2 linked regions of the Lonchura striata genome follow. The protein of the gene in region 1 purifies or fractionates together with the protein of each later gene. This does not show direct contact. Links are inferred from orthologs where the notes say so. Each region holds a gene or a part of one and is shown on either strand. Other genes may lie near its edges.

Region 1 (8,263 bases):
TGTCATGTAGTTCCCCCAACCCCATGCTGAGCCCCAGACCAGCTCCCACCTCCACTGTAATTTATCTGCCGCATGTTCCCCCCACTGTGTGACCCCCCCCCCCCAATTACTGTCCAGCAGCAATCGAGAACTGAGTTGGGTTGCAGAGGGGTGGGAGATCTGCTGGGACCACCCCACTCATAAAATCTTCCCACTTCACCAAAGCCTCTGGGCCCAGTGTAACACCCCAGGGTGCTGGACCTGGCCCTTTCATTGGTGCTGGAGGTGGAACTGGGGACACCCAACCCCAGTGTTTGTGCTGAAAACATCAGGGAGCTACTGGGGCATGGGGGGCAAAGCCACAGAGTTTATTGCGGAGGCAGCAGCACAATCCTGGGGAGGGGGGCAGGGGGAACACCACCAGCACAAGATCCTCCAAGGAAATGGAGCAAGGAGTCTCCCCCATGCCCACGGGTGTTGTGTGCCCCCACCCCACACACACCTGTGTCCCCCACAGCAGCTGTGCTGGCTCTTGTGGTCCAGGCTGGGGCACCCCACTGCAAAGGGAGCTCCAAGGGCACTAGGGGAGATGGACCCCCCCTCCAGCCAAGTCAGCCCCAGCTGGGGTGAGTGGGGCTCCGTCCCATCACTGCTGTCCCCAGCCCCAGTGGCAGCCATGGTGGGACAGCGACACCGCAGGAGGCTTCAGTGGGGACAGCAGCGCTGGGAGGCGCTGGAAGCGCCGCCAGGGCAGGTCACAGCTTGCGGAAGATCAGGCTCTTGTTGTTGGCCGGCATGTCCACCTGGAAGCACAGAGCGGGCTCGGGGGTGCACACCGCACGGGCAGCCCCCCAGCGCCCATCACCTACCATCCTCTCCAGGCACAGCCCGTTGGCCTCAGCCAGCTCCTGCAGCAGCGCCGTGTCCCGCAGCCCCCAGGCGGGATTCCTGCGGGGAGGGAGGCGCGGGTCACCCCGGGGACACCCCGCCCCAAACCAGCCCCATCAACCAGGGGCACCCCCGGCTGGGGGGCTGCCCTCAGGCGTGGCTTATCTTGAAGGACCACGCTGGGAGGGAGCTTCCTGCGGCTGCAGGGGGGGACAGAGAGGACGGGATGGGCTCCCAGGAGCCTGAGCTCCCCAGCCCCCTCCTACCTCTGCCTCAGGCTGTGGTCGAAGTCCACGTTGCTCTGGGGGCTGATCCGGCCGTCCACGGCATAGGGCTGGTGGGACACAGCTGGAGCTGCAGGCAGGAGCCACCCTGTGCCTCCTCCTCCACCCCAGCTCCGGTTCCACGGACACTGCTGTGTCCCCACCAAGCACAGAAGCCAAGCGGGAAGAGACAGAGCCCCCAGGGAGTCCCGCCACGCACTGTGAGTCCCGTCACCCACTGCAGGCACCCCCAGACCCTGCTTTGGATGAGGTGAGGGAGGACAAGATCTGTCTCCCCCAAAACTGCTCTTTTCAGTTCTCAGAATGTGCCCAAAAAGGCAGAGACCCCCAGAAGCCAAGCCCCTGCATTTTCCAGCTCTCCCCCTAAGCCGTGACTGCAGCTGCCCTCCCACCTGCCCCCCCAGTATCCACTCTGGCATCCTGCACCCCCAGGATGCTCCTGCACCAGGACAGGTGACCCACCCCATAGGTGAAGAGCACACCTCCAGGCTTCAGCAGCACCCCAGCACCCTTGAACAGGCCCTGGGGAACGAGAGGCGGGGACCAGGTCAGGGGGCTGGGGAACGCCCTGGGAGCCCCCTCGGCCTGGCAGGGGAAGGGGCTGTCAGGGCTGCTCACCTCGGTGCACCGCAGCTCTGCGATGTGCATCATGTTGATGCTCACGATGAGGTCGAGGGAGGCGGGCTGGGTGCCCCCCCAGGTCTCCCAGCCCTGGGACACGTCCAGCAGGATGGGGGGCAGCAGGTTGGGCAGCCCTGCAGCCTCCACGTAGGCAGCGATGCTGTGGGCACCAAACCCCGCCTCAGGCCCAGCCGGGTGCCCCGTGCCCCCCAGCAGGTGCTGCAGGCAGGGACAAAGCCCTGCGTGGGCTCTCAGAAGTGGAGGAACACCCACAAAGGGACGTGGGTGCAGCACAGCCTGGGGCTCCTTGCCCAGCCCTTTGCTTGCAGCTGCCAGATGGAGAACTGGGAGTGCCTGGATAACCAGCAGCATGTGGACACAGAGGCCCCAGGGCCAAACCTCCCCAGTTTTGGAGCACCGTCCCCTTGTGGGGCACCCCACGGGCACCACTGCACCAGCACCTCCTGATTTTGCTGTTATTTATGTCCTTTTTGGCACATTCACCACCTAGGTCTCAGCTCCTGCAGCCTCCCAGCCTGGAGATTATTTTTACCCAGGGTGGTGGGTGCTGCTGGGTGGGCAGCACCAAACTCCTCCTGGACAGGAGCTGGTACCAGCACCTCCCCACCAGGCTAATTATTTTTCTGCGGTGGAAAACTGAATTTTGGGAGTTTTCTGGGAAAAATAAAGCTGGGGAGCTGGGAAGCATGAGTTGTTTGGGAGTTGGCTATTGGGGATTTATTGAAGAAAATATAGTGAGTATTGACCTGGGGAGCCTGGGCTGGGCAGGACTTGAATATTGTGGTCTGCCTGGAAAAAAATAAAGCATCAAGCCAGAGAGTCTGGACTGTCCAAGGGGGTATTTGCTGGGAAAAAATAAACATTAAGCTCATCTGAGAGCAGGATATTGGGGTTTTCCTGGAAAGAATACAGCAGCAAGTGGGGGAGCCTGGGCTGCTGGAGAGTCGATTATTGGGTTTTTCCTGAAAAAATAAAAGAATCGTGGAGCCTGGGCCCACTGCTGAGTAGGCCTTTACTGGGAAAAAATATGCATCCAGTTCATCCAAGAGCTGAATATCGGGGTTCTCCTGGAGGGAACAAAGCACTAAGCAGGAGAGCCCGGGCTGCAGGAGAGTCGGACGCTGGTGTTTTCCCAAAATCCCCGAAATAAATAAATAAATAAATAAATAAAATGGGGAGCAGAGAGCGGGGGCCGCGGGTCCATGGTCCGTGGGAAGGGGTGCCGGTGGAGCCCCCGGGGTCCCCGTCCCCCCGGGACCCCCGGCCCCGCTCACCTGCGCAGCGCCCCGGGGTCGATGTCCGAGGGCTGCCAGCGCGCCTGCGGCAGCGCCCGGGCGAAGTGCGCGGCGTGGAGCCCCGCGCCCGCGCCCACCTCCAGCACCCGCAGCGCGCCCGCGCCGCTCCCCGCGCACTCCCGCAGCACCGCCAGGATCGGGCCCTTGTTGCGCTCCGCGGCCGCCGGGACCTGCATGGCCGGGCCGGCGGCGGAACTACAGCTCCCGGCCCGCCCCGCGCCGCGGGCGGAGCCCCCACGGCAGGGGAAGGAGAAAGAAAACTGCGCCGCCCGGGAATCGAACCCGGGTCGCAAGAATGGGAATCTTGCATGATACCACTACACCAGCGGCGCGGCCGGCAGCCGCCGCCTCCCGCCGCCCCTCGGAGCTGCCGCCCCCGCGGGACCCCGGCCCGGCCGCCGCCGCTCCGCCGCCACGCAGCGGCACCCCCGAAAGGGACAAAGCGAGGCTTTGCGCGGGCACCCCAGGAAAACGGAGGCGAGGGGGGACCCCCACCCGCCCTTTCCCGCGACAGCAGTCACCGGTGATGGAGGTCCGGAGGGATCCACCTAGAGCACAAGGATTAGGGGTTCAGGCCTTCCAAGCGTGGAAAAGGTCAGGGGTGCGCCAACAGGCACTTAGAAACCCCGGGCAGGTCTGCGGGGAAACTGAGGCACAGCCGCCAGCACGTTACATGCCAGTAGTGACATCCCATGGGTCAGGGTTGTTTTTAGGCACAATAACAGGGCTGGGGGTGACAGCAGTGGATGCACACCCCCAAAAGGTCTGCTCCTGCCTGGCACCCACCAGGGTCAGGCGCTGCTGGGCTTTTATGGGAGGTACCCTCTTACACGCCTCCCTCGCTGGCCGCTACCGGGGCAACGTGGCGGAAAGGCGAAGGTCACCCTCGTGTTTATCACACGATCTCTCCCCAAAACTCCGGGTGCTGTCGACAGCCACAGGGGCGGCCGGTGGACACTGCGGGGTGGCCGGGGTCCAGCTCGGGGTCGTGTCCTGGGTCTGCACCTCCTGCCACGTGCGGACACCTTGGCGGGACGTCCCCGCTCCAAAGGTTACGGCGCTGGCCGGGACGCGGCTGCCCGCCCCGGCTCCCTGCGCTGGTCATGGGACGTGCAGCTCGGGACTATTCACGGCGCTGTCCCCGTGGGGGTGGCACCTCAGCCCCTGCCTCTGCGCCCCTTCACTTTTCCCTGCCTGGGTCCTTTGTCCGGGGTCCAGGAATGACACCTGTCTGTCCCCTGTGTGTGCCGTGGCTCCAGTGTCCTGTCTCCTGCATGTCCCCGTGCCGGTCCCCCCGAGTTTCCCGTGACTCCCGTGTCCTCTGCGCGTCTGTGCCATCTTGTGTCCCACGTGCCTGCTTGTGCCCTTTCCCCTACTTGAGCCCCGCACGGTCCAATGTCCCTTGTGTGCATTCTGTGCGTCCTGTGCGAGTCCCACATGTCCCCTCTGTGTCCCATGGAAGTCCCCATATGCGCCCTGCTTATGTCTCCAGTGCATGTTCCTTCATCCTGCGTGTCCCCATTAATCCCCACGCGCGCCCCCGATGTGTCCCCGACGTGTCCCCACAACCCAGGCACGTCCCTTACGCAGCACACATGTCGCGTGTGTCCCTGCACGCCTCCCGCGTGTCCCCACGGCCTGTCCCGCGCGTGTCCCCCGCGGCCCCGAGCGGCCGCGCGCTGTCGCCGCGTCCCACCGCTTCCCCCGCGTTCCCTTTAACTCAAGCGGGGGCGTGCCCGGAGGTTGGCTCGGCGAAGCCCGCTGACGCCCGGTGAGGGACACCTGAGGCACTCGGGCAGGGGCGGCAGGGCCGTGGGCCGGGGCCCGCAGGATGTACACGCTGACGCGCGGCCCCAGCAAGCTCGCCACGCAGCGCCGCACAGGTACCGGGGGGCGCGGGGCCGGGGCCGCGGGGGCTCGCTGCCACCCTCGCCGCCCCCTGACGCCCCGCGCTCCCCGCAGGTCCCACGCAGCAGGCGGTGGACAGCAGCAAACTGGGCGAGCTGCGGGGCCGGCCGCAGCCCGGCCCGTGGCCCCCCGCCAGGTGAGCCCCGCTTGACCTTGGGACGGGGACCGGCGCTGGGGCGGCCGCGCCGCTTGACCTTGGGAAGGGGAAGGGGAACGGGACGGCTGGGCCGCCTGGCAGGACGCGGGAGGGGACGCGGGCTCTCCGCTCGGTGCCGCTCGCCCCGGGGGTCTCAGCGCTGCTTGTGCCCGCACGCGTCCCGCGGAGCTCTGTGCACGCGTGCCGGGGCAGCCCCGCGTCCAGGACACACCGGAGCGCCGGTCCCCCTCCTTCCCACGGGCCGTACCCAAAAATCTCGGGGAGTGGGCCCAGGGGGTCACGCCAAGGAGGCGGCGCGGCGGGGTCCCGGTGCGGGGCAGAGGCGGGGCCGCTGGCGCAACCCCCACCCGCCGCCGGCCCCGATTGCACAAACCGGGCGGCGGGGCCAGCGCCGGGCCCGCCCGCTTGGCCGCGCCGCGCACCCACGGGGGCCGCGGAGCCCACGCGGAGCTGGCGATCCCCTCTGCCCCAAAAGCAAGGGCGACACTTGCTGGGTGAATTTGTGTCCCGCAGCAATACCTGGAGCTGCTGGCTGGGTGCTGTGGGGTATTCCAGTGGCTGGGGGGTGGTGATGGGACCCCTAAGGAGACTCTTTCCAAACTTGAGGGCTGGAGTCACAGCACACCCAGACAGGATAGTGGGACCCCGCTGTTTCTGCACCTCCTCTCCAGCTCCAAGAAGTGGATGGATGAGCCTCCCCCGCCAGTCCCTCTGCTTTCCAGGATCTCTAGAATTCACTGGAGTGGCTTCTGCCATGCTTGCCCTCCTCCTGTCTGCCCAGTGCCCCTGGATGTGGGGGCTACAATGTCACTGCCCTCCCCAGCCCCTGCCTGCAGATCTGCAGGAGCTGCCTGCTCCCAGTCTCTCCTGCCCTCCAAACCCACTCCTAGGGCCTCTTAGACTTTGTCCCATGAGGAACGTGGCTGTTGCAGACGTGTCCTGCCCTGGAGCTGAGCAGAAAAGCCAAAATACTGGAGTTTTGCACTGAACATGCTCCCAAGTCTCATCCCAAGTTTTTCCTTTAGCTCTGGTGGGGGTTGCTGCATCCAGGGAGGGAGTGGTTGAAGTGCCCCTCAGCAGAGGGCATCCCAGCTCTGAGGAAGCCTGACCTGCTCGTACTTTTCAGAATGTAACATCCCAGTCCTGGGGCGCCTTGTGTGCCCCATGCTGGGGCCAGAGCTGTTCCAGTGAACCTGAGTGCTTGATCTGCAGAAGATGGCACATCTTCTGTCCAGTACCTGACTGGATTTCACTTCCATTTCCTCATGTTCCTGCAATTTTAGTGGCAGATTCTTTATCTTAGGGACTGCACTTGGTGCTAGATTGCAGGATGGGTGGGAGATGGGCAGCTGGTGCTTTTCCCCAGGGAGCTCCCCTTGCACCCCTCCTGTGTCAGAATCCCCTGCCCCTGGGGGCTGGGTCCCTTTCCATCCCAGTCCTTGAGGACAAGGCTGGGTGACCACAGCTGTGGGTGAGTGTGTGCACCGTGGGGGAGCCCAGGACACCTGAACCACCCCAGTTCTTGCTGGGGTGCGCAGAGCTGCCTGTGCCCTCATCCCCCTTTGCTTCCCTCCTCCACAGTCCAGTGCAGAAACTCGTCTTCAACAGAGTGAACGGCAAGAGGCCCCCCCTGCTGCTGCAGCAGATCTCAGCCCCTGAAGAATGCTACACCCTGGCCCACGAGGAGAATGTCCGCTTTGTCTATGAAGGTGAGGGCAGAGGGTCCCTGGGGCAGCACCCAGGGGACCTGGAGCAGATGGAGTCCCTCCATGCCGGGGACATCGGTGGCAGGCATGGAGTCCCCGGCCTGGGGGCTTGCCCTCCTTTGCTCCACCTCCTGCTCCTGTCCCACAGCCCCCCACACTGGGGACCCCCATCCCAAACCCATGCAGCGCTTGTTCCCCTCTCCAGCCTGGCAGCAGGTAGAGCAGCAGCTGGACGGCAGCCGGAGCGGGGAGAGCGCCTGCGGCCCCGTGCAGTATGTGGAGAAAACCCCCAACCCCGGACTCAAAAGTAAGTGGGCAGTGGTTGTGGCACTTTGGGGTGCATCAGGCTCGGGGTGCAGTGGCTGTGGGCTCAGTCTGCATCTGAACAGAGCTGTGGTGGAAGGACAAGGAGGATTCCAGTGCTGGACGTGCCAGAGGGGCTGGTTGGGTCACTCTGGGGGTGCTGGGGGGAGACAGCTGGCCCCAGGCACTGTGGTGGGGATGTTGCACTGCGTCCCTTGGATGTTCCACTCTGTTGCTGACTCCTCTGGCATTCAGGCCTTCTCCTGCCACCAAGGGGCTCAGGATCATGCTGGAGAGAAAGGAGGCACCTGTGGAACCCACTTCTCCTGGGGCCAGCAGGAACAATTGGGCATGGGGACAACACTTGTCTGGTGGCACCCGGAGTCAGCAACCTGCAGGTTCTTGCAGCAGCTGAGAACTCCCCAAGGAAGAGAATGTTCCTGTACACCCAGTCTGGCCTTTTGGGGACATGGCACAGAGGTGGAGGAGGCTTGGGGGTGTCATTAGATTGGATATCAGGGAAAGGTTCTTCCCCCAGAGGGTGCTGGGCACTGAACAAGCACCCCAGGGAATGGGCACAGCCCCAAGGCTGCCAGAGCTCCAGGAGTGTTTAGACAAAGATGTCAGGCCCAGGGTGGGATTGTTGGGGTGTCTGTGCATGGCCAGGAGCTGGACTGGAGGATCCCTGTGTCCCTTCCAGCTCAGGAAATTCTGTGATTCTGTGGTCATTTTTTCTGGGGTTTGGAAGAGGGCACCCAGAGCTCTGCTCCTGCTCCAGCTATTCCCCTCTCTCCCTCCCTTCTTTTTCAGACTTTGTTCCCATCGACCTGGAGGAGTGGTGGGCACAGCAATTTCTGGCCAAAATCGAGAACGGCTCATAAAAGGGAAGAAAAGGTTGCGTTTGGTTTCTTTAGAAGAGAAACAAAGCTGCGAGCAGCTGGTGACAGCCCAGCATCGGTGGTGTTCTTGAACCACGTTTTTAAAAGATGCCCAAAGTGGAGTGAGCCAGCCCAGAGGGACCGGACCACAGCCATGCCCGGCCACGCGCCCTCCCCGTGCCCCGCAGAGGAGCAGCGTGCAGCCCCAGCCAGGATTCCTTAA
Region 2 (8,800 bases), on another chromosome or scaffold:
CACTTGGCTCCCTCAAAGATCCAGGTTCCAGTGGAAACCTCCCTGCGAGCCAGCCTGGATGCAGGACTCTGAGCTGCAATGGTGGCTCCAAAATCTCTGAAGGCTGAGGTTTTCCATGTGCCACAACTTAAACAAGGAGTGCTGTGGAAGCCCTGCCAAGTTCAGAGCCAGATGTGAGAGAGGAGATCCCACCCTGGACATCACCAAGGATTTCTAGCACTGCAGTGCTAAGTACTGCAGTTAATTCCACTGTACAGTTAAATTTCAGTGTCTATTCTCACACATTCAGCACTGTTGGAGTCCAAATAAAAATACCTGACTGTTCCCTTCAAACCCTTCCCTGCAGAGATGCTGGGGATGTGCTGCCAGCACTGCAGTAGAAAGCTCCTCTGGTTTTCACAAGGGACACTTCCAAAAGGCCCTTGGCCCCCAGGATGGGCTGAGGGTGAGTATGGGATCCATTCAACCCTTTTTCCATTCTTCAATAAAAAATGTGGCCAAGGAAGAAGACATTGCTCCCTGAGCCATGTGGTTGCTGGAAGTGCTTGGCCCTGCTCACAGAAACTGCCTGGGCTTTCCCATCTCCATGGATGGAGCCTCACTTGATGCCCATGTCCAGGACTGGCGGGTTCCACCTAAAGCCAAAATCCCAGATCTGAGCCCCACGTGAGACATCCCAAAGGAGGGGAAAGTTTCACATCCCACTTCCAATTTGCCTGATGATTTTAGCACAGTGAACAGGGGAAAGAGCACCAGAGGTAACAAATTCAACCCTTTCCAAACACAGTCATGTGGTTGTCATCTGCCAAAAACATAAACCACAATCATAATCCTAAATTTGTCCTTTGAACATACCTGTGCCTGCTCTGTAGTAGTTTCCTTCTAATCCTCAGGGATTAATCCTGAAGCACATTGAAACATCTGAGGTGAAGGGCTACTGTGGAAATTCCTTGCAGGCTGGTAATAACAACTGAAAGCTGCTCTGCGAAGCAAACCTGAGGCTGACTTGGTTTTTAATGGACATCTGTCTGTAGGGGGAAAAAATGCCATGGCAACTGCCTTTCTTGTTGGCACGGCAGCCTCAGCGAAGGGCTGGGGAGAGGATGGGTATGGGAGGGTCTGTGTGGCTGTGCTGGGAAACCTGGAGGTACAGCTCGGCCAGGCTGGGAGGCAAAGGTTGTTTATGCTCTGTGAGCACCAGATCTTGAGGGATTTAACAGCTAAATCTTGGCATAACGATTGCTTTGTGTGCTGCTGCTGCTGCTGCTGCTTAGCAGGAGCCAGGCTGGGTTCCCCCCTCCTCTTTCTAAAAATGTGAAATCTAAAGGCAAAAAAGCACCTGGCTGGTGATTTCCTGGTGCTTTGCTGGGCAGGGTTGCTGTCTCCCAGTTTGCAGCTCTGTCCCAAGAATCGCTGCAGAGCCACGGCATCATCAGATGGATCCTGGAGCTTTGCTGGCTGAGGAAAGAAATGCCCTTGTTGTGTCCAAGGGCTGTGGAAATTGAGAACAAGGGTCATTCAAGGGTTGATAATGGGTGCACAAGCTCTGACACTTCTGTGCCTCCCTCCAGAGCTCCGTGGACATCAGCATTTCCCTTCATCTCCTGCTGGTTGCAGGAGAAGCAGCTGGATGCATGGCCCAGCAGGGACATCCATCAGCCATGCCCTGGCTGCACGGCTGAGGATTGGGAAGAAATGGCAACAAAACTGCAAGTGCAGATCAAAAACTGAATCTGATGGGAGCTGGTCTCCGCTCAGAGCTGAGCTGGGAATTTGGGAGCTGGAAGCAATGGGAAGATCAGGGTAAGGGGGGAAGGCAGAGGTGGCAGCAGCTGCTCCACGTGGCTGGTTTGGAATTTGGGGTTTGGTTTTGCTGTGGTACCAATCCTGGTCTGGCCAGGGGTGTGTCCTCAGTCAGAACTGAGGGCAGCTTTGGTGACGGGCTACATCGTATCTCTCTGGGAAGCTCTGCCGTGTGTCAGCACCTGATTTGTTCTCTTAATATCCTTCCAAGTGTTTGGAGATCCCTGTGCTCACAGCACTGTCCACAAAGCTTTACCCTCCGAGAGGAGGGGTGGGGATAATGGCACCGAAGAACTGAAATCTTCAGGGAAAACACGTGTGTGACAAAGCTCAGCTCTCTGAGCTTCTCCAGCAGCTGATTTTGCTTAAAGCAAACCCCTGTGCCTGTGCTGCTGTCCCCGTGTACCCAGGCGTGTTTTGTCTTGCTGGATGCTGTTGAGGATCACCCTGGGTAGCTCAGGGAAGGGAGCACAAGACGAACAGCAGGTTAGATCAAGGAAATGTTACATCACACGGCACTTCCTGCTAAGTGCTGCTATTATCAGCCTCATTCATCTCCACATGCAAATACAGCCTGCACACGTCGTCACACATCTGGAGGGAAATAGCAGTCCTGGAAAGGAGCAGCTCTGACCTGGATCGTGGACAGGAGAGGCAAAAGGGAGCATGATTCTCCACTAGGAATTGTTTCCTTGCTTTCTTGATTGAATCCTGAATTTTTCTCCAGCTAAACCACCACATCCACTGTTCACTGCTTTTTGTCACATCAATGACATCCAAAATGTCAGCTATAAATGGTGGGGAAGAGCAAAAAAAAAAAAAAAAAAAGGGTGAGAAATTGATAAAACCAAGCCATAAAATAATAACTTGGGAATGGTGGGCTATCAAGAAAAGCATATTCAGGAAGAGGTAAAGGCAATGATGTGCCCTAACAACAGTAGAATCCCATTATACTGGGAATTTGGGGAGGAGGAGGTGTCCCTGGAGAAGGTGGCTGCCACTGGAAACCACCCTGTAGCTTCTCTGGTGGTAATTGCTGAGCTATATTAAATGATCACTTCTATATTTACTTTTAACCTGCTTTTTTATAAAGATGCTCAACAAAGAAAAAAGGGAGGGCACAACGAAAGCCAAACGGAGCTTAAGAAAACAAAGAATACATTGAAGGGGAAAACAAGTCAAACTGCAACTGCTCTTGAGTCATTACTGAGGATGTGAATGCCAGCCCATTCATACCCTGCTTTCTGAGCACGTAATGTCACCCTAAAATGTACTTTGGTGTGCTCATGTAATGTCTTAGAAACTGTCTCTGCCTGTGGAACTTGGTTCAGGTATTTTTTGACATTTCTGGCTATCAAGGGCTCCATCTTTGCCCCACAGCCCCTTCAAACTGCTGCAGGTGCTTTTGTGGTCCTTAATCTTCAGCCACAGAAATAGTCACTAAGTGCTGTGAGCTGTGAACATTCCAGGCTGGAGAAGTATTGAAGTGATATCTTCTAAAAACCCCACGTTGAGTGACCTGGATGAGTTCTACTCACTCTCTTATCAGACTTCCTTGTGCTTTTTATTAACAACTTCCTTTTCAAAGTTGCTCAAGGTTCATGACTAATCCAAAGCTGTAGAACTTAAAAAGAGCAGCCTAAAGAGATTGGTTCACAGATTTGTGGAATATCCTGAGTTGGAAGGGACCCATAAGGATCATCCAGTCCAATCCTGGCCCTGCACAGACCCCTCAACATCTTCATAGCCTCTTTTGGGCCCTATATATTTCTTAGATTTTTATATACATCTATATACTACTACAACTATTATTATTATCATTAGCGTTGTTATTATTACTACTACTATATTGTTATATATTGTCTTATATTGCTTTTTCATGCTAGTGTGTTTTACACAAATATATATAAAGGATTTTTCTTAGCAGCTTTAGGAATTTATTTATCCTATCACATACAGTGAACCAGATTCCTGCTCTTACAGTGAATGCTCCCAAAATTGGTGCCAGTGGTAACCTTTGGCTGTGCAGGTGCTGACATCTTCCACAGAAACTCTTTGGCTCCAGAAACCCTCAGTGTCCTTCTCACTCAGTTCTGTGGCTGTGAAATAGTGAAGCATCTTGTGAGTTCACTAAAAGGATTAAAAAATGAAATTTCTTTAAATCACCATCTCTGTTAAGAGTATTTTCTATGGGAAAACTCAATGCTGAGCCCATCGGTGTAGGATCTGTCATCTAGCCTAGAAAGTGCTAACCACAAGGTTACTTGAGCCTGTGAGGTAAAACAAAGCAATCAGTTTAAAAGGTAAAATGTAAGGAAAATGCTAATTTAAGAAAGCTGTTCAATATTTTATCTTTTTACCATTGTGTGCTGCCACCCACAACTCTTCCAAGCGCATGGGAAAGCTGTTGCTTTAGGAGCAAGGTGTATAAATAATGCCTGCCTAAGAGCACTGCTCCTTTTTATTCCTTTGGAATCCTGTGGGATTTCTAGAGCATTTCTATGAATAGATTAAACTCTGAGCATTTCGAGTAACCATGGCTATAAATCAATTTAGCTCTTGGTTTTCAAGTTGCATCTGCTCTTACTAATCCTGTATGTGCATTTATTTTATTTATTTATTTTTTTAATAGGCCAGACCAGGCTTTATTTTTGTGTATGGGTTTTGGTTTTGGTGAAATTCCCACTCTGCACCAAGCAGGTTCACAACCACAGCACCCTGGATTTCTGCAGGGAGCCTGCCGATGGTGGGCAGGTAACACGGAGTGAGGGGAGAACTGGCATCTTGAGCGTAAAGATTTCACCCATCGGCGCAATGCAAATTTAAATTTCATTACTAGGAGGGGAAGCCGTGACTGCTCCGAAATGTGTAAGATGGAGGGGCACTGCAGGGAAAGCAGCCATCCTCCGGCCCCATCTTGCTTTCCCCCAGGAGCAGGGATGTGTTTGGCAGCTCTCTGCGGATCAGGGCCTGCCCTCCTCCCCCGGCCTTCCGCAGCCGCCCGGGGCTCGGCCATTTTTCCTCCATTTCGTCGTCTCTGGACGCTTGGTTTCTTTTGAACGATGCGCTGCGGGCCGAGCCCGCCGCTCGCTGGGGCCCGGGGAGGGGCGAGCGCGGCCGGGCCGCACCAGGCCGCGGCCTGCGGGCCCGCGGCGCGGGGACCGCCGCACACCGTGGGCCGTGCGGGGCCGGCCCGCCGGTGTCACCGGAGGGGTTTGAGCCGGCTCGGGGACTCCCCCGACCCCGCCGGGGCCTCACGGCCGGGCCGGGCGGGCGCCGCCGCCGTCCCGCGCCGCCGCCGCCTCACGTGTCCCCCCCTCCCTCCCCGCCCCTTCACCCGCCGCAGCACCGCCGCCGCGCCCTCCGACTTCCCGTAAAGAGTCCGCGCCGCCGCCCGCCCCGCGCCCGCCGCCGCAGCCCCGCCGCCCCTCGCCGGCCCCGCGGGGGTGCCCCGAGCCCGCGGCTGTGGCCGCCGCGCCCCCCGGCCCCGCCGCCGCCCTCAGCCCGCGGCGCGGCCCGGCCGCCGCCCGCCCCCCCCCCCCCGCCCTCCGCGGATCCCTCCGCGCCGCGCTCCGCTCCCTCCGCCCCGCTCGCACTGTTTGGGAGCAACCGGCCGAGCCAGCGGCGCCCCGGCCCCGCCAGCGCAGCGCGGACCGGCCGAGCGCACCCAGCCCGGCGCGACTCCCGGCGCTCTCCCTTCCCTCCTCGCCATGTCCCTCAAGCAAGCGGCGGCGGCGGCGCAGCCCGCCGGCAACAACCGCAAGCCCCCCGGCGGCGGCGGCCCCGGCCTCCCGTCAGCCGCGGGGAGGCAGAACATGGGCAGGTGGGTGCGCAGTGCCACGGGACCGGCCCCGGGCCCGGCGCGGGCGCCGCTCGCCCGCCCCCGCCGCCCCCTTCCCCCCCGCCCTCGCCCCGCACCGGCCTCCATGGGCGGCGGCGGCCGGCAGGGAGGGGGGGCGCGGGGCCCGCAGCATGGCGGGGCCGGGGCGGGGGCCGCGATGGCGGCGGGCGCGGCGCTCGCGGCCCCGCCGAGGGGGTTCCGCAGTGCCGGGGCGAGGCCGGGCCGCGGCCGGTGCCCTTCAGGCGCGGGGAGGGCACGGCGCCGAGGCTCCATTTCGGCCCCCCGCGGGGGCCCGGGGCGGGGGGCGCCGCTTCCCCCGGGCCGACGTGACCCGCCTGCTGAGGAGGGAGCGGGGGGAGCGGGGGGCGCGGGCCGCACGTGTCGGGGCCGGCGCGGGAAGGGCCGCGAGCGATGGCGGCGGGGCCGGGGGGCGGCCCGGGCGGGGAAGGGGGCGGCGATCCGGCCCCGCGATGGCGGCGCAGCGCCCTCGGCTCACCCGGGGAGAAGGGGGATATTAAAATAATTGTGTTTTTAAAATTTATTTTAATATCTGGGGATCGCTATTATTTGTAAAATTTTTTTAGCTTTTTTTTTTTTGTTTTATTTATTTATTTATTTTTTTTAAATAATGGAAATCACAATAAAATTCTCGCGGGAAGGCGGGCCTCGCCGCGCCGCTGGATGGTGGCTCCGAGCGCGGCCTCGCTTTCTCCCAGATTTTTGGGGCAGGAATCTTGCAGAGGCTGAGCCCGCTCCTCGCCTCCCCCCCACGCTCGCTGCCTCTGAGAGATTGATCCTGCTCCTGCTCTCAGATCATTAGCTACGCAAATCCACTCACATTTCCCCCCTTTCTTTCCCCTCAAATAATAAACTCCATAGTGCTGTGAATTTTTCCCGGGCTGCGGGGGTCATAACAAACGATCAGAGCAGGACGTTAACAGTTCTGAAGGTCACAGTCGCTCAGAGCAGTTTCATTTCGAGTTTTATTCATCTTCCTCTTCACAACTGGACGTTTAATCCCACTCGGTTTTGTGGCACTGGCAATAAAACAGAATTTACAGTGGCCCCATTGTTGGACATCACTGGAAATAGGGTTTTACTTTGTTCCCAGCCAGTGGAACTGGAAGCGGAAGAGCTTTGGAAGGGTTGAAAAGGACAAAATAAATAACAACAACAATACCTCAGCAGCTCACAGCACCGATTTAATAGTTTTTACATATGGCATTAGGTGGGACATGATGTTTACTGGGCTCTGTCCCTGCCAACACACAGTGGCACTGTAGAGGTTAACGTGAAGGGCAACAAAACCTCCAGCTTATTTTTTTAAATTCAGCCTGATGGCAAGCACTTACCCCCTTAGATTTGGACATGAGATCTTTGAATTCTCTCCCAAGTTTATGATTAAAGCCACTAGATTTCTCCTCCCAGTGTTGCCTTTCTGGTTCTATTGGATAAATTCCACTTCAGAACTCCCTAAGGAGTTCTGATGGGCCTGCTGAACAGCTGATGTGTTCCCTCAGAAGGGTTCATGCTCTTTGTTTCTTAATTTTTCAAGTTATTTCTGAATGGAGGGTCTGTAAAATCACAGTCCCAGGCCTGCTGGAGCCCCATGGAACACCTTCAGAGGACTTCCCCTGTAGCTGTCCTTGGACTTCTGGGGAGTGCAAATTCAGATATGGTTCATTCTGTAAATCTGGCCACGTGAATGAAAATTTAGGTGTCCTGCATCTTGGTATCAATTTGATGCATTGTATTCTTTAATAAAAACTTGAACATCTCCAGTGTATGTCAAGCTTTCTGCCCAGCAGCTCATTTCCCTGCAGCACCAACATTCCGTGCAGAAAAAAAAAATAAAAAAAATACTACTTTTCATGGCTAAGTTGCTCTTGAAAGCTTAGTTTGGGCAGAAAAGTCATTGATAATTAACTGTCCTGGGCCTCATTTTCTGCTGTGGGTTTGTTACTGGAAGAATTGGGCTGAGCACTTGTCCTCCTACCTCTGATCACGAGGGAAGGGTCAGCTCTGCTCGCTGCCTTGTCTCCATGGGTTCATACTGCTGCACATCTGTATTTCAGATTAGAAAAGGTAAAATCCCATGTGAACAAGCAGTGGTTTTTTTTACTGTCCTATTAATTGCTTTTGGACAAAGGGAAAAATCAGAAATGAAGGCATCCTTGAAGGTGTGTGAGATAAAAAAGAGGCCCCAAGTGGAGTGCTGTGTTTGTTTAATGTGCACTATGGCAGATGGGCTTGGGCTGCAGGGGAGATGCCAATAGCACAGCAAGCTGTAATTAGGGAGAATGTAGACTTGGTTCACAAACTTGCTCCCTGTGCTATCAGAACATTATCTAACATCTACTTTCTGTGTTTGAGCGGAGTTTTGCTGTTATGCAAGCACAGGAGGGTTAGCTGTCCTCTGGCTGCAAGTTGCATCTATCACAGCCCTCCTCCATCTCCGTCCTCTTTTTGTTCCTTTTTTCCCTATTGTTATTTTATCTGAAGATAAAACACCTCACGGTCAGGGTTTGGATGTTTCTTGTCTTGTTACAATTGTGGCAGAAGGGATTTTTCATTTTGGTAACTTGCTTGCCTAACTGGGCTTGGGGGATCCTGTAAGAATACACAGAGTTTCTGTCCTTTAAAAAAAATGTATTTTTCCCATCAAAAAGCTAAAACTGAAACCACCTCATGGTAAAAAAAAAAAAGAAAAGAAGACACAAACTTCTTGCCTCCGTTTCTTTTTCTTTTTCCTTGACATCCCTTTCTTGAGAGCATGGTGACTATCCTGTTCAGAGGGAAGGGAAGGGGAATGTTGAATGCCAAGGTGCTGGAATTTAAGGGCAGTGACTGTTCTGAAGGTCTGCTCACACGTGCCAGTCAGAGGTTTTTGAGTTGCTTCTGACATCTTTGTGTGGGTTTTAGTGCTAAACAGCTGAGCAGAATGACTGCTTAACCTGCAGGCCTCTTTCCTTATCACTGTGAGTGCACTTTAGGGTGGTGTTATATCCCTGGTTTTGAGTAACTTTTAATTTAACAACTGATTCATGGCCATGTCTGTGAAGGTTCTTCCATGACTAAGCCCATCAACAGGTTCCAGGTGTGCACTGGGCCAGACCTGAGTCAGGTTGTTACATATTCACATGGTGTAAAAGCTGT

The links.
Region 2: the proteins of MCRIP2 (region 1) and ATXN2 purify together in Homo sapiens (co-immunoprecipitation; 3 studies listed by BioGRID and IntAct, with this or other methods). This does not show direct contact. The link is inferred for Lonchura striata from reciprocal best matches to the Homo sapiens genes MCRIP2 and ATXN2.

The regions. Positions count from the first base shown.
Region 1 is NC_134618.1:2,610,592-2,618,854, reverse strand, and holds the start of MCRIP2 (MAPK regulated corepressor interacting protein 2), read left to right. Parts: upstream 1-4,840; 5' UTR 4,841-4,919; coding exon 4,920-4,971; intron 4,972-5,050; coding exon 5,051-5,132; intron 5,133-6,734; coding exon 6,735-6,862; intron 6,863-7,064; coding exon 7,065-7,166; intron 7,167-7,972; coding exon 7,973-8,043; 3' UTR 8,044-8,263. Other genes in the region: METTL26 (methyltransferase-like 26), read right to left, coding at 735-782, 849-927, 1,134-1,201, 1,614-1,673, 1,770-1,932, 3,068-3,264.
Region 2 is NC_134620.1:11,794,769-11,803,568, forward strand, and holds the start of ATXN2 (ataxin-2), read left to right. Parts: upstream 1-5,483; 5' UTR 5,484-5,513; coding exon 5,514-5,626; intron 5,627-8,800. UniProt on the Homo sapiens protein: Involved in EGFR trafficking, acting as negative regulator of endocytic EGFR internalization at the plasma membrane.